Linked DNA regions of Neurospora crassa OR74A. The protein of the gene in region 1 binds, or shares a complex with, the protein of each later gene. Links are inferred from orthologs where the notes say so. Each region holds a gene or a part of one and is shown in the gene's direction. Other genes may lie near its edges.

The links.
Region 2: the proteins of NCU00477 (region 1) and NCU01112 are in contact, whole or in part, in a crystal structure (PDB 1WPX), measured with the Saccharomyces cerevisiae proteins. The link is inferred for Neurospora crassa OR74A from reciprocal best matches to the Saccharomyces cerevisiae genes PRC1 and TFS1. Residues at the interface, in NP_014026.1 of Saccharomyces cerevisiae: Gly164, Ser217, Ser221, Ser257, Tyr258, Leu289, Arg327, Leu331, Val341, Trp342, Val345, Pro346, Thr348, Ile349, Tyr350, Asn352, Asn353, Leu356, Ala357, Gln360, Arg361, Val366, Tyr367, Cys373, Asn377, Cys379, Cys409, Asn410, Phe411, Asp412; in NP_013279.1 of Saccharomyces cerevisiae: Met1, Asn2, Gln3, Ala4, Ile5, Phe7, Ala10, Ser11, Asp13, Ser14, Lys17, His18, Ile35, Ala37, Val38, Glu39, Pro45, Val46, Ala47, Met48, Gly49, Asn50, Thr51, Gln62, Phe63, Gln64, Thr66, Asn68, Gln70, Phe133.

Annotation. Positions count from the first base shown.
Region 1 is NC_026503.1:3,981,415-3,997,730, forward strand, and holds NCU00477 (carboxypeptidase Y), read left to right. Parts: upstream 1-8,045; 5' UTR 8,046-8,273; coding exon 8,274-8,775; intron 8,776-8,840; coding exon 8,841-10,003; 3' UTR 10,004-10,462; downstream 10,463-16,316. Other genes in the region: NCU00473 (hypothetical protein), read left to right, coding at 1-266; NCU00474 (hypothetical protein), read left to right, coding at 1,451-1,736, 1,822-2,489; NCU00475 (40S ribosomal protein S18), read left to right, coding at 4,325-4,348, 4,948-4,985, 5,095-5,281, 5,337-5,558; NCU00476 (UPF0023 family protein), read right to left, coding at 5,947-6,894; acon-2 (aconidiate-2), read right to left, coding at 12,238-14,552, 14,617-14,806. UniProt on the Saccharomyces cerevisiae protein: Vacuolar serine-type carboxypeptidase involved in degradation of small peptides. Digests preferentially peptides containing an aliphatic or hydrophobic residue in P1' position, as well as methionine, leucine or phenylalanine in P1 position of ester substrate.
Region 2 is NC_026505.1:2,939,335-2,955,105, forward strand, and holds NCU01112 (lipid binding protein), read left to right. Parts: upstream 1-6,651; 5' UTR 6,652-6,752; coding exon 6,753-6,907; intron 6,908-6,985; coding exon 6,986-7,014; intron 7,015-7,075; coding exon 7,076-7,624; intron 7,625-7,687; coding exon 7,688-7,725; 3' UTR 7,726-8,207; downstream 8,208-15,771. Other genes in the region: NCU01107 (short-chain dehydrogenase), read left to right, coding at 1-164, 242-553; NCU01108 (hypothetical protein), read right to left, coding at 1,063-1,170, 1,257-1,532; NCU01109 (hypothetical protein), read right to left, coding at 2,691-2,793, 2,870-3,270; NCU01111 (erythromycin esterase), read right to left, coding at 3,825-4,453, 4,512-5,307; NCU01113 (hypothetical protein), read left to right, coding at 8,912-10,402; NCU01114 (DUF858 domain-containing protein), read right to left, coding at 10,805-10,937, 11,032-11,669; NCU01115 (tRNA-splicing endonuclease subunit SEN2), read right to left, coding at 12,751-14,652. UniProt on the Saccharomyces cerevisiae protein: Specific and potent inhibitor of carboxypeptidase Y.

The DNA of each region.
Region 1 (16,316 bases):
CTTCCACCACGGGAAACCTGGGCTTGCACGCTGATACCTGCGTCAAGCAGTGGGGAGTGAAGCCGACGTTTATCTTGGTAGACTTTTTTGATCACGGGCCGGCGATCGATACGGCCGATCGGTTGAATGGGATCACGGCCACAGGGAGGAAGTCGGTGTCCGGGGAGAGTAAGGGGAACACGAGCGGCGCGGGGGAGAATCATTCGCCGATGGGCATGAATGTCGCGCTGATTGCTTTTGTGGTCTTTGCTCTGGCGATGGTATAGATGATGTTATTTGTTAAAACCTGAGTGCTAGAATAATTTGTTTTGAAGAAGCTCATGCGCATGGTCACCTTGGCGTTGGGCGTAATTTATGTTCGAGGGTGTAATTGGTGCTTTGGGGTGAAGGTAGACTGGCCTGATCAAACTGGCCTGCGGCCTGACTAATTGGATCGACAATCGAACTTGCTTAATGACAATCAGTACGGGTATTACACGAGAGCCGGTGATGGAGATTTTACGGTATTCTCCCCTTACCATGATTCTTGTGAGGTTATGCCGTCTTCGCCAGCTACATTCTTACATTAGCGCACTCCTGAGTTTCCGTCTATATCATGCGTAAATATCTCCTGTTCATTGACAGGCGACGAGCTTATCTGTATCGCCCTGGCGTTTCATCCAAGATCCTCGTTTGGTTGAGTGGAAAGAAAAAGCCATCCACTCGCATACATGTGTATATATATCTACTATTTATTCTCTTCCACGTGCCCCCACGCCCTCCCCCTTCTCTCGCCCTTCAGGATTAACCCTTCACTAAACGTTGACAATTATTAGGTCGCGACACGAGGGCAACTCCAAGAAGGGAATAAATTGGTGCCGTACTGTTTGGAGCAAAGTGTGTACTCCTCTGCTGTTTTTTGTCATCCGAACTTTAACGCTGCCTTCCGTTTGCCTCTTCACAGGGAACGGGATGAGGCTGGCAAGTCGTTGCTGAAGAGGTTCTTTTTGGCCGATTCGAGAATCACCTGCCGTCAACGGGATCGGACGGTTGGTTGCTCAGGCAGAAGAATTGTACGCTTTATCCACTACACAAAGTCTCCATAACCTTCAGTTCAAGCGGATAGATTCTGGCCGCTCCTTCCTTAGTGCAAAGGTTGATCCAGAGGTGAACTGGAAGGTATGGTTGAGGCACCATCTCCTCGTCATCAATAATCCAAGCTCCTTCGCGTGAGCTTGAACCTCTTCGTTCTTCAAACCTTCGTGCGGTCGTCGTGTGCTCACGCCCACGAAGAAATTATCCTACAACTTCGCTACCGGCACTGCAGATACCAGCGGATCCTAAATTCTTTTGCACTCGGTTCTGATCGATTGTTCACACCTAAATCTGCAAGCGTTTACCCCGCGCAAGAACGAAAAAGTCGAGATCTTGAGGCCATTGAGGATCCAGACGCAGTAAGCACACGGACACAATGAGTTCATCTAGAGCGACATTCTACGCGCACCAGACGCTCAATCTCCACGCCCGATATGGACTATCGGACAACGCGAAAAAACTTCTCCGAGCTCACGACAACTGGAAGATGGGAGGCCTTGAGCGAGATCAACTGGGTCGTCTGGTCCGAATGTCTCCCGACATGCGCAAGTCAATCACAGATACCATCACCAAATGCGCCGAGATAATGCGCAAGAAACCTGCCGAGGTCAAGAATTGTATCGATATCATCCAGGCCTGTACTGAGATTCTGGATGCTGCTGGTGAGGATTCTTCATCATGATCCAGTCCATCTGTACTGCATAAACTTGGTACCGAGACCCATATGCTGATAGTGCTGTTGACCAGACAAACCACCCGATTTGGAAGGCTTCCCATTCCTCAAACTACCCGCCGAACTACGTCAGAACATATATCGCTGGTACGCCACCAAAATCGTAGCCACGACGTTAGTTGCCTATTCGAACGAAGTGGGTTGCGACTGCGGCAAATGGACACCTCCAAATCCTTCAACTCTCCCTGCTATACATCGCGTAGACATGGCGTTGGCTAGGACCTGCAGTCAAATCAAGTCCGAATACCTTGAATTCATCTATCACAAATACACCTTATATTTCGCCTGCAGCTGTGAATTGAATAAGCGCTTGAAAGGCAACTCAACCTTGCGTGCCAGTCTTCGTTCAATCAAGGTCCATTGGACAGGCCCGGTGTCGGACAAAGCCTTCAGCCGTCTCGCCAAGTGCAAGGAGTTAAGACATCTTGACATAGCCATCTCCAAGTCAACTACCAACTTTGAGACGCCTAGGGAGAAGGAGATGCGGCGTTATTTTCATTCGATGAAGCCAGCTCGACTTGCGGACGCTCTGGGAATCGAGGAACTGCTCAGTATTCGAGGCCTTACGTCGGTTTGTGTCTCCCACGTGAACGGCAGACAGAGCACAAAGCGCACGGATGAAGAGCGGGCAAATCTCCAGGGGCTACTAATTTTCAAACTCCGCGTCCCCGAGCTCGACTAGGGAATAACATTCGGGAGGGTGAGGCGGTCGTGCCAGCCATGCTTTGGGCGTGGATGCCATATAGGGGGTTGGGCGGCCAGGTCATTCAGGTGGAGGAATGCGGAAAATGACCGAAGTGCAAGCGCTTGGGCATGTGGAAGCGAGCCATAATGACAACCTGTTGGGTTCTCGCTGATGTGTTTGAGCGATGTCCGAATACCTTGAACGAGTATATGGAGAATTGTAGATGTCAGGGGCTGAATGGATCACATAAGGGGGAGGATCTCGATCTCAAGCCAGCAGTCGATATACAGCAGCAGGGTCTCGACTCATGAGGACAAAAACGTCAAACTGGGAAGGAAGATGTTGCAACGAGAAATTGCGAAAGCCTCCATAGGGAAAGAAGAAGGTTCCGCACTCAATGAACGTCACAGAGTTTATTCTTGTCTAGTACGCAGCTCGCAAGGAGGCGCATCCTGGCTCAAGATCAACCCCAGGGCAGGATAGTTGACCGAATCAGGCATAAGACGGCATCGCACAAGACATAGTTATGGACGGCACTGGAACCTACTGTTTATCGTGTCGAACTAACGTCCTCAACCTGGGAAGACAGAGACACATTCCGCATAAGGCTTTTGTGCCCCAGCTAGGTCGATGATTTGGCTCTTGGTAGCAGAATGGTAGTCATTGCTTTTGGCCTACATTCATAAGAAAGACGTGACGTGTCGGCATATAGTTCACCAGACGTGGAAGCTTTAACGTTTTGAGTTGTCTTTGAGTTGCCAACGGGTGATGAAATTAGGAAGGGTGAGGTTTTGCTGAAAAATGTGTTAATTCGAAGTTCAATGTGGACCCACTTAGACATTTCTTGCCTTGCCAATTGCCAAAAGGTCCTGGCAGCTGTCAGATATCTTGTTTACTGCGCCCTAGCACCGTTCCCTTGATACTTCAACACTTTTACGTCAACCATCAACACTGACATCCTTTGCAGCAAATTTATACCGATATTGATACGAGCAAAAACCGAAGTTGCAAACTCTCATGCCATGAGTTCGAGCAGATCTCTGCCTCTAGAGACCTTTCCTAGATGGAAAAGGACAATATCACAGCTAGGAACAATGTAGAGTTGAAACTTCGCTTCATGTCGTGGCTCTCAATCCTTCCCAGATACACTCCCCTCCTTCTCAGGGCTCTGTTACATCTGGAGCTGTAATCACTGTGGCGCTTGTGTCGCCTACTACGACATTCTCGGTTGGGCTATTCTGGCATTTGAGCGGTGGCCGAGCGTATTTCTGGTTCCACAGACTTCTGGCTGTTGGAGCAGGCTGAACGCATTTGGAGACTCGCTTCATTAACTTTGATAGATATGGTCACCGGCAATATCCATGCATTTGCAAGAAGTTGCTGTTCTGCCAAACCGTTTGTATTTGGGACAGATTTATACAGATTGAAGTGCTCTGAAACGCGATATCTACAGGAGATCACATCGCAAGGCAGGTGGCTGGTAGACTGGTTGAAGTGTTAAACCTGCGAAACTTCGTTGTGAACACGATTTGCTGTTGAGGTGAAGGACTGCTGAACGTCAGAGGTTCGCGAAGTGAAGGGGCAAGCGAGAATCGGGGTTAGGGTCAAGGCCATGCTTGAATCAAGACATTACAGGCAACTGACAGGCACCTGCCCGTGCACGAGCCATCTGCTTCATTCACAGCATTGCACGACACTTTTGCCCCGCCACGTGACGCACAAATTTCGAAAACCATCTGGGCTCGAATTCGACGGAGCACTTCCCACGAACCTGCGACCGAACACACAGCACAGACAATATCGAGGCGGTATCCTCGAAATCATTGCCCAAGATGTCTCTGGTGTCCGGCGAGAAGGTATGTTGCAATCCTGCAAATTCATCTCCTCCCGAAGAAGATCATGCGTTGCCCAAAAAAAACCGAGGTTCTTGGCTGCGGTCGTTGTTCATCCTCTGGCGCCGTGGGGATGCCATCACGAGTGAGGAGCTGGCGTCGCTGCCCACCTTCAAAACCGATGCAAATACGAGACGATTCAACGCGAAAATACAAGGAAGTGGCGTCCCATGACAATGTCGCGACAAACAAACGGTTCATCGATGCGCCGGCTTCCGAATACCGATGGCGGCTTCAAGCGATGTGTAGGCATGGAAGTGGATATGGCTTTGCAGTTAGCCTGTGGTAGACCGAGGATGAAGACGAGCGACACGGCCTTTGACGACGCGAGATTGATATTCGACACAGTACGCATGCGGTGGGCGATAATAGAGATGGCAATACGAGCACGCGACCATGAGCATTTGATTGAGCACTGAGCTCTACGACCGATGCTTGGATATCGCGGCAGCCAAAGGAGAACAACACGGCAGAACCAAGAACCAAAACCAGCAAGCGCTGGGATGCATGATCTTCGACCGGATATTCTTTAAGACGCTTTCGGATGCTAACAGTCTTTTCAGAGCAACTTCAACCACATCTTGCGTCTGCTCAACACCAAGTATGTTCATTCAGGCACCTCATGATCTTAACCATATCGCGAATCCGGAACAGAACCGTTTTCAAGAGGAGGGTCAATATGTTGAATATGGACGCTGACTTTTATGCAGCGTTGACGGCAAGCAGAAGGTCGTTTACTCCTTGACCAAGATCAAGGGTGTCGGTCGCCGCTACTCCAACCTCGTCTGCAAGAAGGCCGATGTCGACCTGAGCAAGCGTGCCGGTGAGCTCACCTCTGAGGAGCTTGAGCGCATCGTCACCATCATGCAGAACCCCACTGCCTACAAGATCCCCGCTGTACGTTTGAACGGATTTCACTCGATATGACTTCGTCGTCTAACCTTGTCTACAGTGGTTCCTCAACAGGCAGCGCGATATCGTTGACGGCAAGGACTCTCAGATCCTCGCCAACGGTGTTGACTCCAAGCTCCGTGACGATCTTGAGCGCCTCAAGAAGATCCGCGCCCACCGCGGTCTCCGTCACTACTGGGGCCTCCGTGTTCGCGGTCAGCACACCAAGACCACTGGCCGCCGCGGTCGTACCGTCGGTGTCTCCAAGAAGAAGGGCAACTAAATCTGTGCGGGCATATTCGGCGCTGCTTTTTCTGGGTTATTGGTGGTGTTATTCCAAGACGGGCAGTCATGGACACCTGGGACTGAATTGTTTCGCCTTGCGCGTATCTGGATTCTAGGTAGCCTATGGCTAATGGGGGAACTCGCATAATGGAAGACACATCATTGACAGCATGACAATAAACGGCGTGGATATGGAAAATGATTTACTGGCATTTTTATTCGGTCTCTATGGACGTGAAACACGCAAATCCATTAAATCCATTGCCTAAAACAACCCACTATGATTTTCGATGCCATAACGCCCACCCCATGTATGTGACCAAGACCACCATAGACGAAGACCCAGAGAGTATCAGCCAGTTAAATCGAGAAACGAAGTCATGGCTTTAATCTTCGTGAGTGACGGCCATATCCAGGACCTCTACTCTTCCCTGTCCCTTGGTTTCGCTTCCGATGAAGTCAGACAAGATTTTAAAAGCACCGGGCTCTACGAAGCCCACCAGTTCCCACTCTTGGCCCATGACATCTTGGCTCTCAACCTGCTCAACGAAGCTGAGAATCTTGTCCTTGACCGTTCCGGGTGCCTTCTTCTCTCCCTCCTCGCCATCCTTGTTGGCCTCCCCCTTGGGAGCCTTGACGGCCTGCTTGAGCACATTGGTCGTGCAAGTGATGCGTAATCTCATCCTCGCCCTGGCAACGGGTATAGGCTGATGGGCAACGAGCGCCTTCATGGCCTCCAGCGCCTGCGACTTTGCGCTCTTGTTTGTCGAAACACCGGTCCAGATGGGTAGGGACTTTGTAGGCTGCGGCTTCGCCTCGCCGCTCTCGCCCGTCGCCGGCGACGCCGTACCGCTCGCGGCCGCATCCTTCTTCTCCTTCTCCTTCTCCTGTAGCTGATGCGCCTGCGAGCTGAGCATGTCCAGCGCCTTGTCGATCATGCCGGTGGTGTAGACCTTTTTGGTGCGCGGGTCGACCAGCTTGCTGGCGACAATGGAGACGACTTCGTTATGGACGCGCTCCAGCTGCGCGCTGCGCTCCTTCTCGCCCACCTGCATCTCGCCCTTTTTGAGAATCTCCAGGATGATGTCATTGACCGAAGTGTCCTTGCCAAACGCCTTTTGCAGCTCGGCCGTCGGCGCCGTCTGGCCCTTGGACACGTTCAGAAAGACGTTGGGGATCTGCAGGACGTTGTCGAGGTCAGTCTCGATGCCGGACCGCCATTCGAGCACTTTGTTCTTGTAGCAGGCAACCTCGAAGCGTTTTTTGCCCTTTTTAAGCCGGACAAGGGAGACGTTGGTCAGTTTGATCTGGTTGGAGGGCTGTTGGATCACCATTTTGGCGGTGGTTGTGTAGTTGTCGTGAAAAGAGTATAATTCGATGGTTCGACGGTATTGATTCTCCGGGAAATGAAGCCGTTGAAAATAGCTTCGAAGGTAGTAACAGTCGGGTATATAGGATGCTGGACTGGCTTTTCTGAGTAGCTGATATGTTTCCAGAAACCGGGCATACAAGTTGACTTGCTGCAGTTTCTCTGAGAATGCGCCCGTAAGAGAGATAACGATATGCCCGTGGAGCAGAAATTCTTGGTCGCCCGCAGCTTCCACTTTTCTCCGCTGCAGAGCGGGCTTTGAAAGTCTGCCCCGCCTGCCCGCCGTACCGCCCCAGTCCCCTCTGATGGACGGATGGGCCGCCCCATCGGATCCCTAGCCGAATGACGATTGACGGCGGGCAAAAAGCGGACTTGTCAAGCACGCGATGCGGGAATTCCATTTGTCCATCGGATGAGTCAGTGGGTCTTTCTGTTATCGATACCATAACATCACGCTTGGAGACGGGTTTGTCAGATATTCAACATGATAAAGACTGACACGAAGTGAGACCTCTTCAGTTTTGAAGACAGGAAATGGATGTCAAAGTCATTCAAATTGCAAGGGATCATTTTTCATTACTATTATCACATATTCTCTGAAGCTGGCGCCTGTTCGAGTTGAACTTGCCAGGAAAGCAGCACAAAATCACCGTTCGTCTGATATCTTTCAGGGGTATCACGCTGCATAATGCGCGACTCATGAGGATTATCTACTGGAGTTCCGTGAAGGATTATCATCTCCTCCTGGGAACAACATTCTTATATCCGGAGTTTGGAGTATCATACATGGACAATAATTCAGCAATGAGAAGGAAATGAGTGAGTTGTTGTCGGGCGGTGGACATGGAGTCGCATCGAGGCGACCTTGCTGGCGAGGTTGAGACAATGACGAAAGGTAGCTTATCAGACAGATAGGTTGATACCAGGTTGATTGGCGCCACGTCTTGAGGCCAAACTGTACAAGAAAATAAGAGGTACACATGGCGGTGAGAGCCTTATAGGCGGCCCTCTTCACAAGCGTTTGGTGATTTTTTTGTCTGGCTGATCGGCTAGGCGTCCGTTCTCATGACCAGCGTGACCGCCCTGCAAGGTACCTGACCAATACCCAGGCATGCACTCATGTGGCGGCGCAGCGTCTATCCAATCCCATGCCAGCTTGCCCCAAATCCTGGGGGGTTCTGCTGCATCCGCGTCCGGTGAAGCTCGGTTCCGGGGCGTTTTACCTTGGCAGTTGCTTGCCCATCCATTTCCGTTATCAACCTCCTCTTCCTTCCTCTTCCCCTCTTCCATCTTCTTCTCATCATCCATCTGTATCACAACATCAATACTCCTAACATCATCACAATGAGGATCTCGGCTTCAACCGTGCTCCTCGGGGCTGCCTCGGCCGCCTCGGCCGCCTCGTTTCAGAACCAGGCCCAGCATGTCCTTGCCGACAACTTTCACAAGGCCCATGACGCCGTTAAGCCCGTCGCCGACTCGTTCGCGCACACTACCCTTGAAAGCTTTGAGGAGGCCTTCAATGGCATGAACTCCCAGGCCAAGGCCCTTTGGGACGAGATCAAGCTGCTTGTTCCTGAGAATGCTTTCGATAAGCCCACCTGGTTCAGCAAGCCCAAGGCTGCTAAGCGCCGCAAGGACTGGGACCACGTCGTCAAGGGCGCTGATGTCCAAAAGCTGTGGGTTAAGGGCGCCGATGGCGAAAAGCATCGTGAGGTTGGCGGCCAGCTCGACAACTTCAACCTGCGCGTCAAGTCGGTCGATCCTTCCAAGCTCGGCGTCGACAAGGTCAAGCAGTACAGCGGTTACCTTGATGACGAGGAGAACGATAAGCACCTGTTCTACTGTAAGTCAATCACGCTCGAATGTACTTGGTTAGTAAAAATCACGGTGCTGACTCGGACTGTCCAGGGTTCTTCGAGTCTCGCAACGATCCCAAGAACGACCCCGTCGTTTTGTGGTTGAACGGTGGCCCCGGCTGCTCTTCGCTCACTGGTCTCTTCCTTGAGCTCGGCCCTTCTTCCATTGACAAGAAGCTCAGGGTTGTCAGCAACGAGTACGCTTGGAACAACAACGCCAGCGTTATCTTCCTTGACCAGCCCGTCAACGTCGGGTACTCGTACTCCGGCAACGCCGTCAGCAACACTGTCGCTGCCGGCAAGGATGTTTATGCTCTCCTTACCCTCTTCTTCCACCAGTTCCCCGAGTATGCCAAGCAGGACTTCCACATTGCTGGCGAGTCTTATGCTGGTCACTACATCCCTGTCTTTGCTTCCGAGATCTTGTCCCACAAGGATCGCAACATCAATCTCAAGTCCGTCCTTATTGGTAATGGCTTGACTGATCCTCTTACCCAGTATGAGCACTACCGCCCCATGGCCTGCGGCGAAGGTGGCTACCCCGCCGTTCTCAGCGAGAGCGAGTGCCGCAGCATGGACAATGCCCTCCCCAGATGCCAGTCTCTTATCCGTAACTGCTACGAGAGCGGCAGTGTCTGGTCGTGCGTTCCTGCCGCCATCTACTGTAACAATCAGTTCATCGGCCCCTACCAGCGCACTGGTCAGAACGTCTATGACATCCGTGGAAAGTGCGAGGATGATAGCAACCTCTGCTATAGCGCTCTTGGCTGGATCAGCGACTACCTGAACCAGAAGGATGTCATGGACGCTCTCGGCGTCGAGGTTGAGGGCTATGAGAGCTGCAACTTTGATATCAACCGCAACTTCCTCTTCCAGGGTGACTGGATGCAGCCCTTCCATCGCCTCGTCCCCGGCATCCTCAAGGAGATCCCCGTTCTCATCTATGCCGGTGATGCCGACTTCATCTGCAACTGGCTCGGCAACAAGGCTTGGAGCGAGGCTCTTGAGTGGCCCGGCAAGAACGGCTTCAACAAGGCTGAGCTCGAGGACCTCTCTCTTCCCAAGGCTGACAAGGAGTACGGCAAGGTCAAGTCCTCCGGAAACTTCACCTTCATGCAGATCTACCAGGCTGGCCACATGGTGCCAATGGACCAGCCTGAGAACTCGCTTGACTTCCTCAACAGGTGGTTGGGCGGTGAATGGTTCGAGCAGTAAGAGGTTCTTGACCTAACAGGAATCGCGACCGGCAATCGGGGATCTTATGAGTGTATGATGGATAATGATTGATACGGAATAGGTTTTGGTTACGACAAGGGCGTGTGTATACAACGAGGGTAAAGACCATCGGGACCTTACGGATTCCCTTGGCTAGTGTCAGAGAGCTCGCGTCTGTTTGATGGTTCAGACAAGACCCAGCGTGGCGTAATGAACAGCACCCGGTAGAGTTTGTATACAGAATGAAATTTGTTTTATTGTCAATAAACACTACTCCTAAGCTCATGGACACCATTTCTGACAGTCCACCTGAACAGCCAAGTATGGACAGTCATCATGATGTTGAATAATACAAAGGGAACAATGCGCAGATGTTTGTCTCTTGCTTCCAATTTACTGTCAGATATATTTCGACGACTTGGCTGAGCCCGTCTCCACTTTTAAACCCGATATCTCGCGTTGTTGAATTTGTGTGCTTAGAACTGATGACCAGAAAACGTACATCCGATCTGTGTGGTGCTTCTTATAGTAATCATTGTTCGTGGTATAAGAGAACACGCTCTATCTAGGGGATCTTAGTTGCGAGGGCGTTGGACACTGCTGTCTTGTGTCCGTAGAGGCAGGTCTGCTGACTTAGCGGTAGCTGTCTGGCTTTTCGAGGAAGTCGGGTTCAAGAATGAACGCATACAGTCTCATACAAACCAGACGAGCAGATTCTTTGAGGAGAGGCAGAGGCAGCGAGTAGAAAAGAATAAGTCAAAGATGGTAATGTCATACATCATTCTGTTTTACGATACTTTGGTTCACTGGCAACCACTCAGCTCAGCTCAGCTCTTCCTCATTTCCTCATATCAAAAACTGACTGGGTCGATTAAGAGGGAGGGTACGACACGTAGGAGGATGATAAAAATAACAATGGTTGATGGATGGGTTGGGTATGTTGAAATGAGAACTGAACTCCGGGAAGTCTAAGCAGCTAGTAATCTTGTTATGATAATCCAAATGACGATGAGCCCTAGCCAAACCAAGCCAAAGAAGGAACCATGCAACTGAAGAAGAAAAAAAAAAAAAAAAAAAAAAAAAGACAAAATGACAGACGGAAAAGGAAGCCAAAAAAAAGGAGGTATCATGTAGAAGGTCAAGTCTTTGTCAAGACAGGTAAACAAGAAGAAAAGAAACACACAAAGAAGTGATAAGAATGAAGCAAGTCCCATGCAAACCTCTACTAATACACCGACACAACCGAAGTAGAATTCGCGAGTTCTTTTGTTTCCTCGGATGAGCCCAGAATAGAGTCGAGCTTCTTTCTCTTTCTTTTCCCCTCGCTCTTGGGAAGATTGAAATGGTGGTAGTGAAACCTCCTACAAAAGAAGAAAAGTAATCACAAAAAAGCATGTCTGTGTGAAACAAACTCGGAAGAATAAATAACCAACAAGAAGAAAACGAAGAAGTAGAAGAAGAATAGAAAAAATAAAAAAAGAAGAAGAAGAAAAAGCCGACAGTAAAAATGCTCTCTCCCCCTCTCCCCTTTCCCCCCCCCTCCCATTGCCTTTCCTAATCATGTGTATACGTGTGTAATTTCGCCGGTGCATCCTTTCCTAATCCCAACCAACTCGATCAATCAATAATCATAAATGCATCTTTTCTCTCCAACCCCTTACTGTCCCAACCGAATAATGAGCAACCGAATGTGAATAAAAAGAAACTTCGTGTATTGGTCCACAAACCCAACCAGAACAAATGATCTTCCTTCCGATTGGGGGACGACACTGACACTCCTCATAATCTCTGGGCGTCCAGTAGGCCAGTGTCAACCAGCATCGATGCCAATTGAGAGGGTTTGTGGTCGGTATTGAGACTTGTGGAGCCAATGATGAATGGGCCACAGGCTGGCGTTTCGTAAGAATCTCGCGAACCTCGATTCTATAAATTGCAACCGGGCTCAGCAGCGGCAGTGATACGAGGGTAGGCGTCTCAACAACACCCCTAAGATGAGATGGAAAGGGAGACACTTTGCGTCAACACCATCAAATCCTATTGCGGTATTATCGATGTTGCACGATCTACAGCGGAAAGCTTCATGAGCCGCTGGGTCGAGGCCTCCATTTCTTTGCGCGCTTGACGATATCGGGTGAAGAATCCGAGAGCGTAGCATCGTTATCATCTGCCGGGACGACAGGCATGCTACCTTGTTTCGGAGGCGGCGACGAAAGCCGAAGCAGAGAGATGGTGCTCTATCCCATCGGATCTGCTGACCTTTCGGGGCTTGCGGGGCATGATGTTTTTCCCTTTTTCGATTTGGTGAACGAGGAGAATTTGGACGAAAACTTGTTCTTGAGACCCATCAGGCTCGCCTTCTTCCTCATCGTTTTACCGTTGCCGGTGTCTTGTTCCGGTTTCAGATATTCCTGTCCTAATGTCGATCCGCTGCCATTCATGTGACCGTTTCCGTTAGACATGTTATCTTCGTCATCGCTTATAAAATGATCGAGTTTTTCGTTCACTTGCAGCTGATCTCGGTCCGAAGACATCTTGGTCGCCTCAGGAATTGCAGTCGGAGAGTCTGGGGCTGTGACAGTCGTCATAGGAACACCGACAGATTTGTCCATCGAGTCCCTGCTGATGATGCTCGTACCCTGCGTACTAGGCGAGAGCGGCATCTTGCCCGTCGTCGCGCTGTTTGCCTGCGAACCCCACTCTCCCGAGCAGGGTGCTGAGCTGCCTTCGGTCGCCTCACTGCATCGCTGACGATTCGATCCGTGTAACCCGGCACCTCCACGGGAGAAGTCGGTAGTCGTAAGACTGGGAAGCACACCGTTAGGTCTTCCATCGAGGGCACTTTTTTCTGTTGGAGGCTCCGAATCGCATTTCGGCGGGGGGCTATATTTAGAGATGCCAGGTTGGTTTTCCATCGTCGATCCTGCCGAGGGGAGTAGGAGTTCATTCTCAAAGTGAGTAAGGTTGAGTTCCATTTCGTCAACGGAGAACTGTAGACCGGGCAAGATATCTGCCACGCCTCGGAACAGAGGGAAGGCAAACAATTCCATGAATTTTAGCTGGGACCTGATCCGGCCGTCAAGGCTCGTCGATGGTGGAGCGATAAGTGCCGTTTTTTGACCCATATCCATCTCAATCTGAGTCTGCAATATAAGCTCGTCATTCAGCAGGTGCATCCACTGTGCACCGATATCGTGTCTCCGTGCGACGTTACTGATGTCAGCGCACTTGATTATAAGAGCGCACACTAGCACCCTCGCCTCGTCGACAGCCTTCTCATTCCAACCGTCAAGATCAGGTTTTTGAGCTTGAAGTTTTTGCAAGTTTCCGAGTTTTGCCATGTAGTCGAAATGCAGGGCCATGTCCGTAGCCAGGATACAACTGATCATCAACGTGCGCAGACGCCTATTCTCGTAAAAGATCGGCCAATGTCGCTTGAGAATCTGGCAGTAGCTGGTGCTGTGGAAATTCTCCAGGACTGAGCGATCGTTGTAAAGCTCTGCGAGAGGCGCTCGTGCCTCGATCAGAAAGCCGTTGTTGACACCGGGATGCAAAACATCGTGACCAATGGCAGTAAGGAGAAGGGTGAAGGCTTCTTCCGGACCTATGGAGGGTGTTCCAGGAGATTCTGCGATTGGGCTTGTATGAGTACCGTTGACGTTTGGATAAGGAGGCAATGCGCCAATCCGGAGCAGCTGCTGAAAAGTTGCCTGTAGAACGTCGACAACATGTCGAAAGTTATGGTATGGCACAAAACCCATATAAGCAGCCCGACAAGCTTTGAGGAAATTTTGCAACTGCGTTGGCGAGATGCGAAATGCCTTTAGCTCTGGCATGGATAAGGCATGGTTTAGTGTGAGTTCGGCTGCGACTATCAGCTCGTCGTAGTCAAATTTGTGAGCATCGAAATGCCATGTGCTGATGGCACGGGAGATTTCAGCTCGCTTCTCTGGGCATACCGAGATATTGGCCTTATAGATCTCATTATCTCTGTCGTCCTCCGTGCTGCAGATCTTCTTAATCAAACTCTCCACGAGGTATTCACGGAGATAACCATACGGCCGGGTATCGTTGAACACAGCGATCAGTGATCGTTTTCTGCCCTTACGCACGTCCGCCAATGCTTGTTTCCTTGAAAGAGCGTCCTTGTAAGCGTAATATGCCCTGTCTTGAATCACTGCGATGCTCTTAGCATTCAGGGGACCCGACAAGACTGCCTTGGCCCCAAAATCGATACATTGTTGTCGCATCCTCGTCCTATCTGCCCCACTGATGTTGTTCATGGCGTCGGGTGATTGGATGAGTGGGACAGGTATAACCTGCTCGTAGAGATGGCGAGCACGAGCTTCGGACTCGATCTTTTTAAGTAACGAGAGGCCGTACGAGTTGCCATCGTGGCTCTCGTCCCTGCGTTCATTCGGAAATTGGGCCGGGAAGAACTGCTGGTAAGGGGTGTCTAGGAGGATAATCGTTGGTTGAAGATCGGCCTCGTGATCTTCTTGGGGCTGGAGCCAGTGGGACATGCAGGCACCCTCAGTGCTGCACAAGTAAGCTGCGTCCGAACAGTTAGCACAAAAGGTCGACATGAAAGGATGGATATCAGCGGCCCCGCAAACCTTCTGGAAAAATCTCCAAAATGCACTTCACAGTGTCGGCAATGCAGTTTGGTTCCGTCTTTGCAACATACTCGTCCAAATGCCTTGCGCTTCGTTGGATGCAGCGGTCCTCGGATACTGAGCGGTTGACGTATATAACACGGTAGTGGATGTCCTCCATGGCAACTTGTGGTTCCTCCATGATATCCATGTTGACTTTTGGTAGTGACCAGTCTCCCTGCGACTGCACTCTGGTGCCGAAAAAAGATGACTGTCCAAAACCACAACCTTGAATGCTTGGGTTTCTTGCCGACGCACTGAAAGTAGCCAATGCTTGTTTTGGCCTCGGGGAAAGGGACCAGCAATAGGCCAAGACAACTCCGACAGCGTTTGGACGCCGATGCCTCTTTTGACGCAACCACTAATTGGTTTAATTTTGGATCGGTTTTCTCTATTCCGAAGGCGAGGCGGTTGTGATCGGTGCGATAGCGAGGGATGCAAACTCCAAAGTCTCGGCACGAGTTTCAAAAGTGGACTGGAAATGCTGGCAGGCGATATTTGCGACAATGAAAAACAAAACTGGAATTGTGGTGTCCGACGAGTAGGAATGATTTTTTCGAGACGCTCAAGGAGGCGAGGAGACTGCTAAAGGGCCGATCGAGGTCGAGTTGCCTGGGTGGTTAGGAACTAGAAACGCGACGCACAGAAGGTCAGATTGAACAGAATCCCGGCGACGACGGCATGCGCGTCTAGACAATTGTGCCGTAAATCGCGGGTAGTCGGTAGTTGATGACATGTAACGGGTGGTTGTTGTCGTGCTTCAGGCGGACTGAGACTCGGGGGAAATTGGAAGACGAGGAGGATGCAAAGAAACAAAAAGGAAGGATGGAATCGCCTAGGGCGTATGACTGGAGGTGGTGGCAGACATAGACGGGAGAAGAGATAGGGGAGGGCGTGGAAGGAGTTTTAGAACTCGCTACTTTCCAGTGAGAGGTGCTAACGGTAGCAGTATCCGTACTCGGTACACACACTGGGTAGGCAGGCAGGCCAAGCAAAGGTACAGGTGCATGTACCTTGCTGTGCAAGTAGAGGGCAGGTAAGGTACCTTTGGAATGGGCAAAGAATGGGACGGGACCCGAATGTGGGTGACAAAGGCCAGGTACCTTCCCTTCTACCTCTACACTACCTCTTACCACGTCGAAGCAGCGGATAGCGGGCGGGTATCAACAAGGAAGAGGAGGGAGGGGGGGGGGCAGGGCGATGCTATACGTACATTGGACAGGAGATGTTTGCCGTTGGTCGATATTGGCTGCCACGGCAGCAGTGGTTGGAATATGACAGAGACAGGGAGGCCGGCGACGAAAGGGAAAAAGCCACGGCCCCTATGGAGATGTGGTGGTTGCTCAATTGGTAACCGCAAATGTAATAAAATGGGAGAGGCTAGACCCGTTCGCTTTGGATGGGCATGGGTTTCCAAGGGCGGGGTTCGCTTCTTACATGTACTCTATCTAATTTTTTTTTATTTTTTATTTTTTGTCGTCGTTCTTTGGTTCAATGGTCCTTGGCTTGGGAGCTGGGATGACGCGCGAGCCTGGCGACCGAACACTGGTAGAAGCCGGCATGGAATCATGGAACCCATCCAGCGCTGCACTAGTATCAACACTTTGGTTTCATCCACCGAACCTGCGCGGCATGGCACTCGGGTTGGCCGATGCCTGAGC
Region 2 (15,771 bases), on another chromosome or scaffold:
ATTTTGCTAGTCTCGATGAGATCAATAACCCGGACTTGGGACCGACGGAGTTGTACGGGAGGACCAAGTTGGCGATGATTCTGTTTGCCAAGTACGGGCTGGCGGAGAAGGTGATTAAGAAGAACGGAGACAATATCTATGCGGCTTCGGTGCATCCTGGTGCAGTAAGTTTATTCCTTCTCTCGCATCAGAAACATTGCCTCTGTTGATATCGGCTTGCTAACGTGGAATACAATAACAGGTCAACACCGCCATGCAACAACAATGGAAGGACGCCTACCCCGGCATCACCGGCAAGCTTCTCACATGGGCCACACTGGCCTTTGGCCGTGATGTGAAGCAGGGGTCTTATAGTGCCTTGTGGGCGCTTACTGACCCCAAGATCGAGGAACAGAACTTGAACGGATGGTACTTCAGTGACCCCGACCAGCCTGGCAAGGAGACTTCCCAGGCTTCCGACCCCGTTCTGGGTCAGGCTCTCTGGGATCTGAGCGAGCGTATCATCAAGGATAAGCTTGGCGAGGATGCTTTGGTTGACTGGTACTCTGCTTAAAGTACCTACACGTCAAAGGGGAGGATGAAGAGTGATCACTTTCTTGTAACGACGACATGACCTAGAGATTACCTGCCTTAACTTGATAGCAAGCAAATAAGCATTTGAGTTTACAACATTTGATCTTTTCGCCGTTTTGGTAATCATAATGTCTAGATAAAAAATTACTGGCCCTATCATGGTCAGTGACGACATTTTGGGTCAGATGAAGTGAAGCCCTTTGGGCTGGCTCGTCTCTCATGGAAGGCAATCTTTACAAATGTCGAAATTGTTTCTTTTGGACCCATCGTGCTGTACTAGCAAAGCTGGTATGGGTTGGCAATATCTGATGTAAGTCTCTAGTGATCCCAATCAATCAAATTCTTCCCACCAGACTTTTTAGTCATTGTCCATATGCTATGTTTCTTGTGTAATCTCTCCCAAAGCCTATCCTCCATAACTCCCATGCCTAAATGTGCAAACCGTGTCGTCGTAATCATTATAGCAAACTTCGAACGAATCCCAACTAATTAGGACTCCTCCTTGGTCTCGGACATAAGTCTCTCGTTCTTGTCGGCGATCGACTGAATCGTGGCGGCAGTCGATCCCTTGGGGGGACGGTGACCAAGAAGACGTGCCTGTAGGGAAGCCCAAACCGGTTAGATTTGCTACCGCAGCGGTGATGATATGGTGCTGGTTCATTGAAAAGGGAAAAAAAACACACCTCGGCGCTCTCAACAGCAGCCGCATCCTCTCTGGTGACCTCGTTGACGGGCTTGTGAGACACCTCGCTGGCCACCTCAATGAAGTGCTCCTGCTTGGCCTTCAAGCTCTGCGCCGTCGCGGCAACTCCGCCCGCAATAGGTCCACGACCGTCCGTCAGCTCAGCCTCCGTCTTGGCGATCTTTGAAACCTCATCGGTGGTGATGGGGTGGCCCTCAACAGCACGCTGCTGGAGCTCCTCACGCGAGGGAAGTTGCTGTTGCTCGGTGGTGCTCATGTTGGTGTCTGGTGATTGATCGCTGCTGTGTTGTCGTTGATTGGCGTCACAGTCACGTCCGTTGTTGGTGCTTGTGAAGCCTTCTGTATCTCAGTCGGAAGTGTATGTTTGTGTTGCGGTGTTGGGGCTGCGAGATAGAGGTGGCGGTGGTGGTGGAGGACTGGAAGTTGTGTTGCTGGGTGGGCGGGAGCTGAAATAGTCACGTCTGGGGACCAGTGGTAAATGAAGTCGGCGTGGTGTACTGTGGATTAAAGGGAAGGTGCTCGTATTATTTGATCTGGTTGTTCTGTCCTCGGTGAGTGGCACGGATGGGCTCTTTCCATCTCACGTAGTGGACAAACGGGCTGGGGTTGACCGGCTGTCAAGATTCCCAGAGAAGTGACGCTAACAGATTTGGCCAACAGTTTGCATGATATTCGTTAGTAGATGACTGAACTAACAGTTACAACTAACTTGTTTGGGGGCTTCCTTCCCGTTTGAAGAGAAATTCGATGGCCTTGATGACGTCTGAATCGGCGATGAGTACCCTGATCTGATGCGATTGCCCTTGCCTGCGGGGGTTTCTGGAAGCTGTTGAGCCACTGATCTTGAAGTTGTTTGTTGATCACTTTCCCTGCTGGTCGGTGGGCGACTTCTCTCAAACCCAACACTACACGCAATCGGTCACTGAATATCACCGCATGGGTTTTCAAACGAGAAAGGAACGGACCGGATCTTGGCCCGAATGTTTCATACCATGGACAGGACAGACACTAACGGGAAGCCGCCGTAGGCAATGAACCGCGGCTCCGAATGTTCTGCTCCGTGCCGTGCAAGCCGGGAAAAGGGGAGCGGGATGGAGCCTTGGCGTTCCGGTTTACACTACTACCTCATGTCCGCCGTGTGAGATGCAAGAACGGTCACTGCCATTCAACCGCACCTACCTACATCTTTTCTTTCACAAACGATCGATGAAAGGAAGGAACTGAATCAATAGAATTTGATTGCATTCATTCCGTCGTTTCTGAATTTCACTTTTGGTGGGTAGGTGTAACGAACATGACATAATGCCTCGATGTTGTTGACTTCTCCATATGCCTTGAAACCCTCCTTGACTTTCTTGACTCCTTAGGTAACCTCCCAGGTCCAGAACGAACATTGTTGAGTAGCAGAAATGATTTAGTCCATGGACTCTCCAAGATCTTGCAGCTTCTTGCGATCCTTCTCCTTGGCCTTCTCCGACACGTTGGGGTTATTGATTGCTGCCTTTAGTCCGCGGATGCTATGCGAAACATACTTGTCAGCTACCGTACATCTCGGTTTTCTGACTTTGTTTGTGTGGGTGGATCGGGACTGACACGTTTCCTCTGTCCTTTCCTTCAAGATTTGCAGACGTGGATGACTCGGTTTTGGAGCCGGTGGAAGCATTATGAGAACCCGTCGACTTGCTACGACCCTTCTTGGCAGTAGACGACGAAGAACCAAGCTTGCTCGAGGAAAATTCTTCGAGAACTTCCTCCTCTGCAATATCTGCGCTATGCCCTTCAGGCATGTGAGTTCCGAACTCACTTTCCAAAATCTCGCGATCGCGCTGCTTGGCCTGCTCGGATACGCGCGGATTGTTGATGGCAGCCTTGAGGCCGCGCTCACGGTTTCCAGGGTCCATCTTTGTTAAGTAATAGGTGGTAGTAGCTATCGGTCTGGCGTACAACAGTGGAAAAAAGGGCTTCGGATTCAAGGGGGAGGGGCTCCTAAGCATTAGATGGCAGCGACGATGAATCGGACTGTCCTGTCTTCGTACCAGTCAAGAGCTGCTTGGGTGGTGGAAGATGCAGGAGCAAACAGGATCATGCGCGCACACTCTGGCGCTTCTTGGATCTTTCAAGCACTTTCCCTCATGCAGGGCCCTTTTTTCTTCTTCTTTTTACTTATCATACTGTAATGTACTTTTCCGCAGTGACGGGCGTTTGACGTTATGCTCCCCTCGCTTTCCGGAAAAGACTCCGTGCTTGCGCGGGGGCAGTGCACCAACTTGACATCACATGCCTGTCAAATGTCTAAAGAACATCAGATGACCATCTGGAGGTACGTCCCTACCCTACAATCCATCGTAAAGTCAGTCTCCGTTAAATTACTTTTCCAAAGCAGTGGGAAGCCCCTTGCAATGTGGTGTTCCTCATCAACTTCCCGATTCATCTTTGTCATGATGTTTCATGATGTACCCATATCTAAGCCACGGGAAAAAGAAAACCACGTCCAACGTGTTTACAGTTTGCTGTGAAGATGGTGGTGCATTCTAGACCCCTGTCTTTCTCATAACCCGAAAGGCCATGTCTCATCAAACTCAAGCGGCCCAGGAGGTTGATGAACCTCCAACGCACCCACCTCTTCAGTCTCATCAAAGTAAGCAATGCCATCAAGCTGCTCAGGCAATACAGCAAACGAGTAATGTGACTGTCGCTCCGTCGCGGGAGCATAGATGACCCCAATGAACCTCTCCAGTCTTTTCTCCACCAAAGCTTCCCTCAACGCCTTGTCGCAGTGCTTTGTCCTCAGGTCTAGCACAAAGTTTTTGATACCGGTATCATGCATCAGCCTCTCATAACTGTTGGGCAAGGCTGGTTTGACATGCATAACACTCATGTCTCCATCCCAACGTTTGGCGGCGGCAACCTTACCCGTGTATCCCAGGCAGCCGATGGCCAAAGCCTTCTTACCATAAGCCTCCTTGCACAGCTGTCCCACGTTGAGTTCATCCGCGGACCAGCTCATACTCGTAGCGCGGGCATCTCCAATGTGGCTGTTGTGCGCCCACACAATTGCCTTTGAGTGGGAGCCGCGATGGTCGAGGATGCGCTGGAGGGTTTCGAACATGTGTGTATCGCGGAGATTCCAGGATTCATCGCGTGCGTAATACATGGCTCTATAGTAGTGTTCGGCATCTGGTGAGTGTCAAGTCAGTAACAGATCTGATAACCCGCAACCGCAAGAAGAACTGACCTTTTACCAATCTCGCATTCTGTTCTCCTCCGTGAAATTCCTCTCCATCCCACTTTGCCCGTTCGTACTCGAGCCGTTTACTTAGCAAATTCTGCAGCACCTGGACCACATCTTCCTCATAACCTTTGAAACCCTTTCCCCCGGATACCAGCGTCTCCAGTCCGTATTCGTGCGGATCTTCAGACCAGTCAAGCAGCCTAGAGTAGCACCGTTTTGCGGTCTCCGCCATGTCCTTGTCCACCTCTTCCAAATAAGCAATGACGGCCCGCATGGATGCGCCCATGCTGTACAGATCCAGCCCGTAGAATCCAGTCGCCTCCTTCTTCATATCTTTCCCTTTGTTCCAACACCTCAGCCACTCGACAAAGTCATGCGTTTCCTTGTTCCGCCACATCCACCGTGGGAACCGCATGAAGCTCGGTTCTCTCCCTGCGCGCCGCGCTTCGGCTTCGGACTCGATCGTTGCTCGTGGGCCCGGCCCTGGGCGCCGACGGACATATCGGTCAATGGACTCGGCGTCAGGCCAATCGGCTTCGCAGGCGACTATATTGTAGCTATGGTGTTCGATCATGTAGCGTGTGAGCGCGGCGCGGAACGCGTAGAACTCGGAAGTGCCGTGAGACGCATCGCCAATTAGCAATACCTTGGCGGAGCTGAAGGAGTCGAAGTATCGAAAAATGTCCTTCTTGGGGTCGTCTAGGGCTTCGGAGAGCGAGGGAAAAGGATGGACATGTCTTCGGAGAAGCTCAAGTGGTGATGCGGGAGGCTGAGGTGTCGACTGTCTGGAGAAGTGCATGGGAGTATGGCTCCGGCTGAGGCTCTCGACTCCGTCCAGGTGTAAGTGCGCGGCGGCGCTGTCAGTGATTGAGGACATCCTGTCCCTGAATTTGTGCATTCTTTGTGGTAAGTGGTTGCCTTGATGTCTAGGTGAAGAAGGGATGTGATGAAAAGATACTTGGTGGTATAAAGGGAACACTGCTCGGGAGCATCTTCGAGCACGTAGAGGCGGCGAAAGGGAGATTCTCTCGAGATTCATTTCATTTACCTTCAAGCAGGGGCAAAACTGCCTACCTAACTAATTACGGACGAGAAGGGATCCCCTAATGTTAATCCCAGGATACCCAGTCCATGGCGAAAACCACCGCGGGGGAAGTTCTCATGACTTGGGACGATGAGAAGCAAATGAACGTTGTGACGACAATATGACGCTCATTGATCACATACGCATGTGAGTAAGCCATAGGTTGCCCGCGAGGGAGGCGTTCGAATCCATTGAATCTGAAGACTTTGACATAATGGTGCGGAGATGTTCGAAAAGGTTAGGGCGCCTAGGCTACGATGAAGCAATGGACCGTATGCGAAGGGGGATGGATGGGGTCTCACGAACTCTTCCCGCGAGCCTCTTTGGCTTACAACGGTATTTCGTGACATGTACTGTAAGAGTTGTTACCGACTATTCTTAAATGCTTGATTTCACAACCGTTTGAAATAGGACATAGATGAGCTGCTTGGCCAATGTTTCACAGCTCTTGAATAATTTGAATACTTTTGGACGTTTGGGAATCCGGACGCTTCGTGGCCGGGACAGTCAATTGACGGTGATTGCAATGCATGACCAAATCGACCGTACGTCGTGAGCTACTTATCGAAGTGTCCCAGTACTTACGTACTGTACAGATGTGAGAGAGAGAAGGGGGGGGGGGGGGGGGGGGGGGGGGCCTTGAGAAGGAAAAGCATGAAATCGGGACGTACTTACTGGTGGCACAGGGGCAGGAAGGAGAAGGGAAGGAATGGAACGGAACGGGCAAGATTTTCATGGGACCTTCCTCCAGAGTCTCGGGTACGGTCCCTGCCCGAGCTTCCTTCCCGTCACCAGCAAGGTTCTCACGTACGCCTAAGCCTGCAGCAATGAGTCTAGACTTGCTTGCATGCCACCATGTTATTTCCTAACTTGGCAATGTCAACCCGAGGAAGATCGAAAATAGCGTAAAGTCAACTCATACCTTTTGATTCACAAAAGCGACCAACACAGACGACCAGCTGCAGTTGTTCTTTCCGTTGTTCATGCAGTCACTGCTGTGTGCATATGACATCATGGATCCTTATCAGTTGCCGGCCATACGCTGATAAGACCTCCCCAGTTCTCACACGGGTTGGAGGAGCATCGACGACAAGACATTTTCAACACAATCTCAATCACCCTACTGAATTCGAACCTCTCGTCCTTTACAAATTTCAGTCATGAAGTTGGCGTTTGGTCTTGTTATCTTTGGCCAGCTCGCCAGGTTGGCTTATGCTGCGAGCTTGGTCCGCCTCCCAAATCAACATGTTTTGGCTGGTGAGCTCGACAATGGAGACCAGCAAGCAGCCAAACTTCCGCATGAAGTCAGAAAGGCGTAAGTGATTCAGTTAATTTAACCTTGTCTTGAATGTAAGCTGTTCAGTCTTGACCCCGTCTGACTCGTACCTTGCAGATTGAAGAAAGCAGAGATCATTCCAACTGGTGAGTCGGATCATCGTTGAGAAAACCGGAGTGACCTCGCAGTTGACGATCGCCAATACAGTCATGGATGACTTCGTTCCTACCTTGGACTTAAAAGTCAAATGGTCCCATGGTATCAAAGCGTCTTTGGGTAATACTCTCAAGCCAAAAGACCTTCAGGATCCCCCCTCCATTCGTCTCAAGGACTTGGTGGCGTCTACAGCATGCCTTCGTCACTCTAGCACAAGTCTCGTGATTGTCATTACCGATCCCGATGCCCCGTCCCGCGATGACCCCAAATGGTCTGAGTTCTGCCACTGGATTGCTGTTGGACCGCTCGTAACGGCCGATTGTCCCATCAGCGACGAACAAACCCAAATCCATGGATGTTGTTCGTCCGATTCACTCGGTACCTTGGAGGATATCGTGTCTTATACACCCCCGGCTCCGCCCGAAAAGACCGGAAAGCACAGATATGTCATCTTGGCCCTCGCGCCGGTCAATGGAACGAGCGAGAAGCTGCATTTGTCGAAACCCAAGGAGAGAAAGCGCTGGGGATACGACAAAGCGGTGCACGGCAAGACGCATGGTGTAAGAGAATGGGCAGTTGAGAATGGACTGGTACCCTTTGGTAAGTCGTGGACACAAACGGAAAGGTCCATGGACTTTCTCGGGCTAACATTGAGTTACACAGCGGCGAACTTCATCTATGCGCAAAATAAGAAACAGTGATATCGAAAAACACTAGTTCAGTGATGTGAGTGTTCTGGGCTTTGTGGACATGCAAATCATGTTGATGGGCGTGAAAGAAGACAAAAAAATGAGCAACAAAGGCGACTGTTAGAGATACAAACACTCCCATAGAACCCGTGCTTACTTAAATAAAGCGTCAAAAACCCCGGCCGGTTCCAGATACACAGTATCATCGCCGCAATTTTACGGACACGAACTTTAACGATGAAGAAATAAAGACCTGGGCGGTTACAGAAAGTCAGGGTACCCGGGGGTCCCGGGCGATTGTGAAATGTTCACAGGTTCGAAGTAGTAAACAAGTGACATTCCATTTCCTTACCCAAGTGATGTCTCTTCCTGCAACGACTTTAAAACGCAAGACCCAAAAGTGTACTCGGGTAGCTAGAATGCCATGCACCTGTATCGATGTGCTGGAAGAACGAAGACGTGGAAATTCAGGAAGTTGTCCCCAAAATGTGGAGGAAAAAAAGAAAAAAAAGGAAAAAAAAAAAACCTATCTTCAAGCCACGGAAAGGATGCGTAGGCTCGACCCACCGCTTCTACAATGAGACGCTAAGTCAGACAGATGCGTTGATCGTCGCTTGCCCAATACGAAACACTCTGAAACTATTCGCAGCTAAGTGTACCTCTAGGATTGGCTACAAACACCGATACCTCTCTGTCATCAGATCGGAACATCAGAACTAACCTTTAAGTAAGTAAGCAATTCCGACCAGTTATGAGTCGACCACACATCGGGTGTTCTTGTGCTTCTTTTTTTTCCTTATTCTTGGTAGTTTGCGCGCTTCTGCTTTTTGCGGTAATCTATCCTACTTACGCATCTATTGTGAGATATGATGACTCGTTTACAAGCTTACCCAGGTCTGCTACACTGCCATAAACCATTCAGTGTTGATTTCTTCCCAGCTTCCTCCCAGTATCAATATGATGTCAAAAACATCAGCAATTTTGCCCTGTATGTGCCTCCTCATACCTTTGGGTGTAGCATACCTAGCTTTCGAAACCATACCAAAAGCTTCTCTGGCTCCATGAGCGCTCACATTCGCCGTCTAACCGACTCTCATGACCGCAAATATATGAACCCGACGGCGGGGCCATCAAAGCACGACATCTTATGCACCATCATTCTCATCCAGAACACAGACCAAAGTGTTCGTCACGAATCATGCGTCTCATTAAACAGCACGGTGAGCTTGCTCCTGAGCCCGGCTACGTGTACCGTTTTGACTCCACCATCCCCCATAAACGATATTACTTCGTCAGCAAACTAGGTCACGGACTCCAAAGTCATGCTCAGCTCGTCCAAGACAGAGAGACAAGCCTAAAGGTGGTTCAGAAAGTGGACAGGAAACTATGTCCCTCCGCTCTCGACCATGACGAGCCAGCCGAGATTAGCGTCCTACGCCGCCTCACCAGTTCCCACCGTCTCGCCAACTACCAGCCAAGATGGATCACCCTTCTTCATTACGAACAAGTCGTTGCTTACCAGAAGACCGAGAAGTCCGGTAGGCATTTGAGCTACCAAGTGAGTTACTGGAAGTTCTGTAATGGTGGAAACCTCTATGGCCTGGTGAACCCTTACATCATGGAACAACGGCCGTGGCTAGCACGTAGCCAAAACGGTACGGCCCCTCAAGCTCCGTTGCCTAAGCTTCCCATCTCACTAGTTGCGCGTGCTATCCGTCACATATGCGAGACATTGGAGGTCATGTATCAAGGAGGCGACGAAGCCGTCTACCACTGCGACCTGCACGCCAGCAATATATTTCTTCACTGGACCAAGGAAGACCCTCTCCCAAAGTTTTACATAGGGGACTTTGGTATGGCTCGAACCGCAAGCCAGTCACTCCTGGACTCGAGGAAATTTCACCCTAGAAACGGGATACCATTCGATAAGCAGCCGCAGGGAACCAAGCCACCGGGTCTTGCCCCTGAAGGTTCCCGCCGTCGATGGGATCTCATCATGGACCATGACTGTAATTTGACCAAGATGTTTTGGTCCATGAGCAGAAGCGCAACCAGAGATATCGGCTATGGCAGTGTTCGACTACCAGTTCCGCGACCTCAAGCGCACCGGAGAGATCTGGTCAAGCAGATCGCGCAGCAGAAGAACCATCCGACAACGTCGAGGCATAGACACAAAGCAAACCCCGTGTCCGCCAGCCCCGAAACATGTAATGGACCATCTCGGTCCTGGGGCTATGGCCCAAATTCTTCATGTCAGCAGGACATAAAGGACACCCACGCCCGACTCTTGCTCGAGCTCATTAGAAACCTCGGTTTCCTGAACGAAAATGACCAATTACACTCTGTACTTCAGCCTGACCTGCGTCCACCATCCCTGGGTCGTATTATCGAAGTCGCAGGGATTTTGGAGAAGGAGGCTCTACAACGGGAGCAACATACACGTGCGTTCAAGGAGTTTGTCAGGGAAAGGAAAGAAAAGGCGCTGTTTCAGGAATTTGAGAGTATTCCGTTTGTGTTTACACGTGACGGGGCGGAGGCGAAGGCGATCTTGAGGAAGGCGTTGAAGCGTCCAAAGAGGAATCCTTTTGAGGTCTACCGTGGGAAGTTGGATGAACCGGAGAGTCTTGAGGAGGTTTGGGGGAGGGAACATGTGGCTGGGCCGTGGAGGGTTGTGCAAGTTAGGGTGTAGGATGAGAAGAAGGACGAGGTTCAAGTGGCTCAGCTAGGAAGGAAGGGAAAAAGAAGTGGTGTCTTCAGCTGTCGAAGTGATTTAAGTGTATTTCAAGTTGCTCTGGTGCTCCGCTCAACCTAATCTGTAATCCAAGACAACCTTGAGGCGGTCCAGTAAGGTGGTGTTTGGTGATAGTAATGGCCTTCTTGTACGTTGGATGCCGGATTGGACATGCCAGGAAGTCAGGAACCTGGAGGTGACGGCCTTTTCTCTCTTTTGGGTGCCTACCATTCCACGTAGACCGAAGGTGTCCATAACCCCTCAATAATGGTAAACCTAGTGTATCCGTGTCGGTCGCTCGTTTCCACATATGCTGTATAGTGACTTTGATCGTGGTACTTGTTCTTACTCTCCAGATCCTCAAGGCTTCAGAGCGTACATCCGTACCGGCAGGAGCTTCATGGTCCTCGTCTGGGGGAAGCCCTTCTGGAACTCGGCCTTGACAACCTTCAAACCAGCCTTTTGGAAGACTTTCTGGAATGTCGCCTCGCCTCTGTTTGTCATTACCGCATTTCGTTAGTCTCACCCACCAAATCTCAAACAACCCATTTCCATCACCACGGAGTTCATGGGCAAAAAAGACTCACCTCGTAACACTACTATCCTCCTTGTCAAACTCATCATTCCCCAACACCGTCGTGTTCTCCTTGATCACAATCAACCCATCCTCAGCCAGTGCGCTCTTGCACCTTTGCAAATACGCCACCAGCTGCTCATCCGTCAAATGTCCCACGCACCACTGCGTCCACACCAAATCATACTTATTCTCCCCCTCCCCGACCTCAGGCACCCACTCCTCCAACCCCATCACGTACACCTTCCCCACCCCCTTTTTTCCCTGCAACTTGGCCGTAAACTTGGCAATTGGCTCAACCACATCCACCTTCCCAGGTCCTTTCCCTCCCTCGTTCTCATCCACCACCAACAAATCAGTCAACAAGCCCTCCGTGATCCTTCCCACGCCTGCCCCGCCCTCTAGGATGCGCTTGCACCTGCGCAAGCCTGGCTTAGAACCAATGCCGAACTTGGCTAGGAAATTGCGAGAGCCCTGCAGGTCGATCTTGGACGTGTTGGCGAAGCCGGCGAAGGTCGGGATCCCGCCTAGCATGCCGTTCTCGTCGGCGCTGACGGATTCCCAGTAAGCGAGACCGTGCTCTTTGGAGATGGAGGCGTCGGCGGGGGTGGAGCCGGAAAGCTGGGTGAAGACATTGTTCGGGTCTGACATTGTGGATGAAATTTAGTTTGCTAGGACCGATGGGGTGCTTGATGTTCTTGGAGTATTGCGGCTTGATGAGGTTCGAAGTCCGGGTTTCTTTTGCAATGGATGATGAGACTCTTGGCGGGTTTCTCTTGGCGGTAGCCGTTCTCTCGAAAGGGAAGAAAGAAACCAAATTTTTAAGAGTTTGAACAAAAAAAACGGGGATAATGTGATGAGCGGTTGAAAATGATTCGTTCGTTTATCAAGTTGTGAGGTTTCAGATCTCGAGTTTGTTTGGTTGTACTTGTACTGTTTCAGGCCCGGTTTATTCTGCCATTCGTGAATTTTGTGCAATCCCGCGTCACGTGGGTCCCTTGGGAAGAAATAATTCATTGAGGTTGTTTAGCGGTGACGAACCATCAGAGTCTCCCCAGTTTTTATGGTTCTATTTACATGGCCACATCATAATCCCCTGTTCTGCCAAAAATCCTCGACGGCTGATAGCAAAAAACAACAGAAATATTGAAATGCAGCTTCACGTTGGACAGCTCAACCCTAACCCTTGCTCCTACCGTGTACTGTGGGAATCTGAAGGAGTTGTGTGTGATATACTTGGTAGAAGGTGTGATCCAAGGATCGGCAATGTTTTGCTTTTTTCTAATTTTTTTCTCAAATTTTTTTTCTTTCTTTTTCGCATCTTGAGATTTTGAGAAATTGATATATGGACGGCAACAAAAAGCAACATATGTCACAGTTACGGTCACGTACGTGGTATCTGTTTTCTCCGTACGAGGGACAGGAAGCGTGCGTTTGCGTTTATTTTATGATTTCTAAACTCGCCAAGACGTAACATGGTAGAATTAGATTGAAGTGAGGGAAAAGTCTATACCCATTCGCACGATCTCATTTCAGCATGTGTACACCAGCTAACATGATATCTTTCGAAACATTCTGTTAAAACTTAGAAATCTAGCCATGCAAATGGTGCTACAGTCTATGTAACCTTTTCCCATCCTGCCAGACAACCCAAAAAGAAAAACCTAGACGCCATGCAATGCTGTTTAGGTGTGCCCATGCTTCGTCGACCCCAACATGCCTCTTAATTTTGCTACCTGTTGCGGTTGACGGAGAACCGCCTGACCATAACCTCACGAATCGTAAACTTCTTGAGCGCAGCCGCAATACCACCCTTCTTCATTTCCTCATCAAACACTGGAGGGGGCGGCACGTCGACATAGACGAGTACCAAGCTCTTGAGCACATGGGACAACACACGGTTGACGCCCATCAACCAAGACCAGGTTTTCTTGGACTCCTCGTGCTCGAACTCGCTCCAGCGAGGATCGGAGAATGACGGTACTACCATGATACCGAACTCAGAGTGATCAAAAACCGGGCCGCGTTGGTAGATGATCCAATCGACGCCAAACTTGATACCGTGACGGGGGACCCAGCCAAGAGAGCGGAAATGGTGATAGACGGCATACTGGACAAGGAAGGGATCCTCAGGGCTCAGGTTATCGACGGATCGAGGAGGGAAGTAAGAGTTGGCACGAAGCTTGATGAGAAGCTGTTCGTTTGAGATGGGAGCCTCGGTAACTGGGTCGACAACGCGGAGAGCGCCGAGGCCAAAGGTCAAGAAAAAGGCCTCTTCAGGAGCCAGTTGGAAGTGCTCCTTGTCAACCAACTCTTGAGAGATTACGGTAGGTTCGACATTGAGGATGACAGGTTTTTCGACGGCGGAGACAAAAGAGGAGAAGACTTCAACGTCAGAAGACCCGTTGTTGTTCTTGACTTCAGAGGCTGCATCGGTGTGCTGGAAGGTGGTAGACTCGACGGTGGAAGAGAAGCGAACACTCTTCCTCCTTTCAGGAGTGGCGGGGACGTTTTCCTGTGTTGGCTGGCTGTCGGGCAGTCCGTCTGTATGAGGAGGGGACGAGGAAGAGGTGCTATCATTGGCTTCGGTGGCGCTGGTCTCGGGTTCGTCGTTGGTCAAGGCACTTGCCTCCAACTGGTCCTCTGTAGAAGACTCATCTTCATCAACACCGGCATCCTCGCTCAAGACGGATACGACTGATAGTGCAACAAGATCGACCAGAGAGTTAGGGAGAGCCAACAACTCGATGGGACCAACAGGCGCCTTGAGTTCTTTGCGCACATTCTCTTCGGTGGGTGCCGGCTCAGGTTGCGATAGCGCGAGTTCCTCGCCACGGACAAGGGCATAGGAGTTTGGCAGCGCAAGCAGCTCCAGGGGGCCAACCGGTGGCTTCGGCTCGACATGTCCATGTGCTACTGTCTTGGGAACAAACTCGTTCGTAGGCGCAGCCCGTGATAGCGGGATGGTTGATGTGGCAGAAAGGACATGATCAGGAAGAGAGGAAAGGAGAACTTCAGGCTCGGGCTCAATCTCGGCGGCAGGAGGCTCTGGGATAGCAGCATTTACAGTTTCACTGTTCAGCTTGGCTTCCTCGTGCTTTTGCTTCTCGATGGCCTCCAGCTCAGCCTTTGCTCTTTCCCATTTAACCTGCCGGCGTTCTTCACGGCGCGACGCGGTGCGTTCTTCGCTAACCGTTGTACCGTCAAGGCCGCGGCGGCTAAGCTCCCTCTTGAACCAGTTGGGTTCACTACGACTCAAGCTTCCTTTTCCATAGAAGCCCTGTTCCCACAGAGCGCGGATAGACTTAGGATCCTTCACGTGTACGGAGCGAGTATCGGGATCCCAGATTCCCTCATGTATCACTGACGGTTCGGCGGGCGGAGGCAATAGCACTTGTCTCAACCACGCGACAGCAAGGTGAAAGAGAGAAAGGGGGTTGCTGGGGTAGAAGGTGGGCAGCGGGAAAGTACGGATTGGCGCAGGGAGCTTGTAGATCTGATGGTAGGGAACTCTGGGGGGTCGAGGCGGCGCAGATGTTGCCGCGGGGTTAGTGCTCGCAGGAGCCTCCTCCCCAGATTTACTCGGTGATTCGCTAGGTTGCGCCATTGTAGCAATGGTCATATTTTCAGCCATTGTGTCTGTTCATATCGGCCTGATGAGGAAGGATGTCAGCAATGTCAACCGAAGACAAGTTTTCATGGCGCATCCAAGAGAGATCCCCATTGTGATGTTGCTCAGATACCGTTGTAGTCTAATACAGAGGCTAACACAGAACGATCCACTGAAGGATATATTGCTCTAAGCACAAAAGGAGTCATCACCGCAACTTGGGGGTGTCCAAGGGCAAAGCCGATTGGACAGTGGTAACTCTCTGGGGACATGCGCGCCGAGGGAATGATGAAGTCGTGACTTACACTTTGGAGCGATATTGAACCCAGAATGTGGGCGACAAGATGGGGATTTGAAGGCGCCTGGCCATTCAGCAGTGACAATAATGTTCACTGTTCGACAAGATCCAGTTGTTGAGCATTCAAATAACGAATGCTTGTACCCAGAGTTCAGTTCATGATCCAGTCATGCTGTTCCTCCAATTGGGCTTGGGTGATGTCGTTGTGCTGAAAATTATTGAAAGCCCAGGAACAGAAAAAAAAAGATTTGGGTCCCGAATTTTATCGACCGGAGCAAAAGAATTCCATACGCCGAGCCCCACGTCTCCCCCAGGGCTTGATAAAGTGGGGCTGATTGTCGTTTGCGCGGAACTTTGCGATAAGCATCAAGCTTGGCTGACATAAGCTGCCCCTGAGATTCACACTACGGTACTTGACCGGGGCAGGCAGTTCAGGGACTCGCGCCGAATCATGATGCCTGCCAGGCACCGTGCCGTTGTCGCGTAGATCGCGACCATCCAGTCGTTTGGGTACACTAGTGTAGAACAGCGGCCGTTGCCGGACGAGCCGACAAGCGTCACTTTTCCCTTGTTTTCTTCAGATCCATGACAAGTCAACATCCATAACTGTCAAGTCGACTGGGGGAACCCAGGCTCACACTCTCAAGTTGAGCTGGGGGCTTCCGCTCCCGCTGTCATCCATCGTGATCTTACCATAGACCGCGCATTCCTACCGCGCGCAAACATGTCGTCCAATTTTCAGTTCAACATCCGATGATTCCGGTCCTCCAGAACGATCTTCTGCGAGACCTCCTTTTTTTTTTTTCTGTGACGATCAGCAGTTTGGCGGGATAGCTCATGCGATT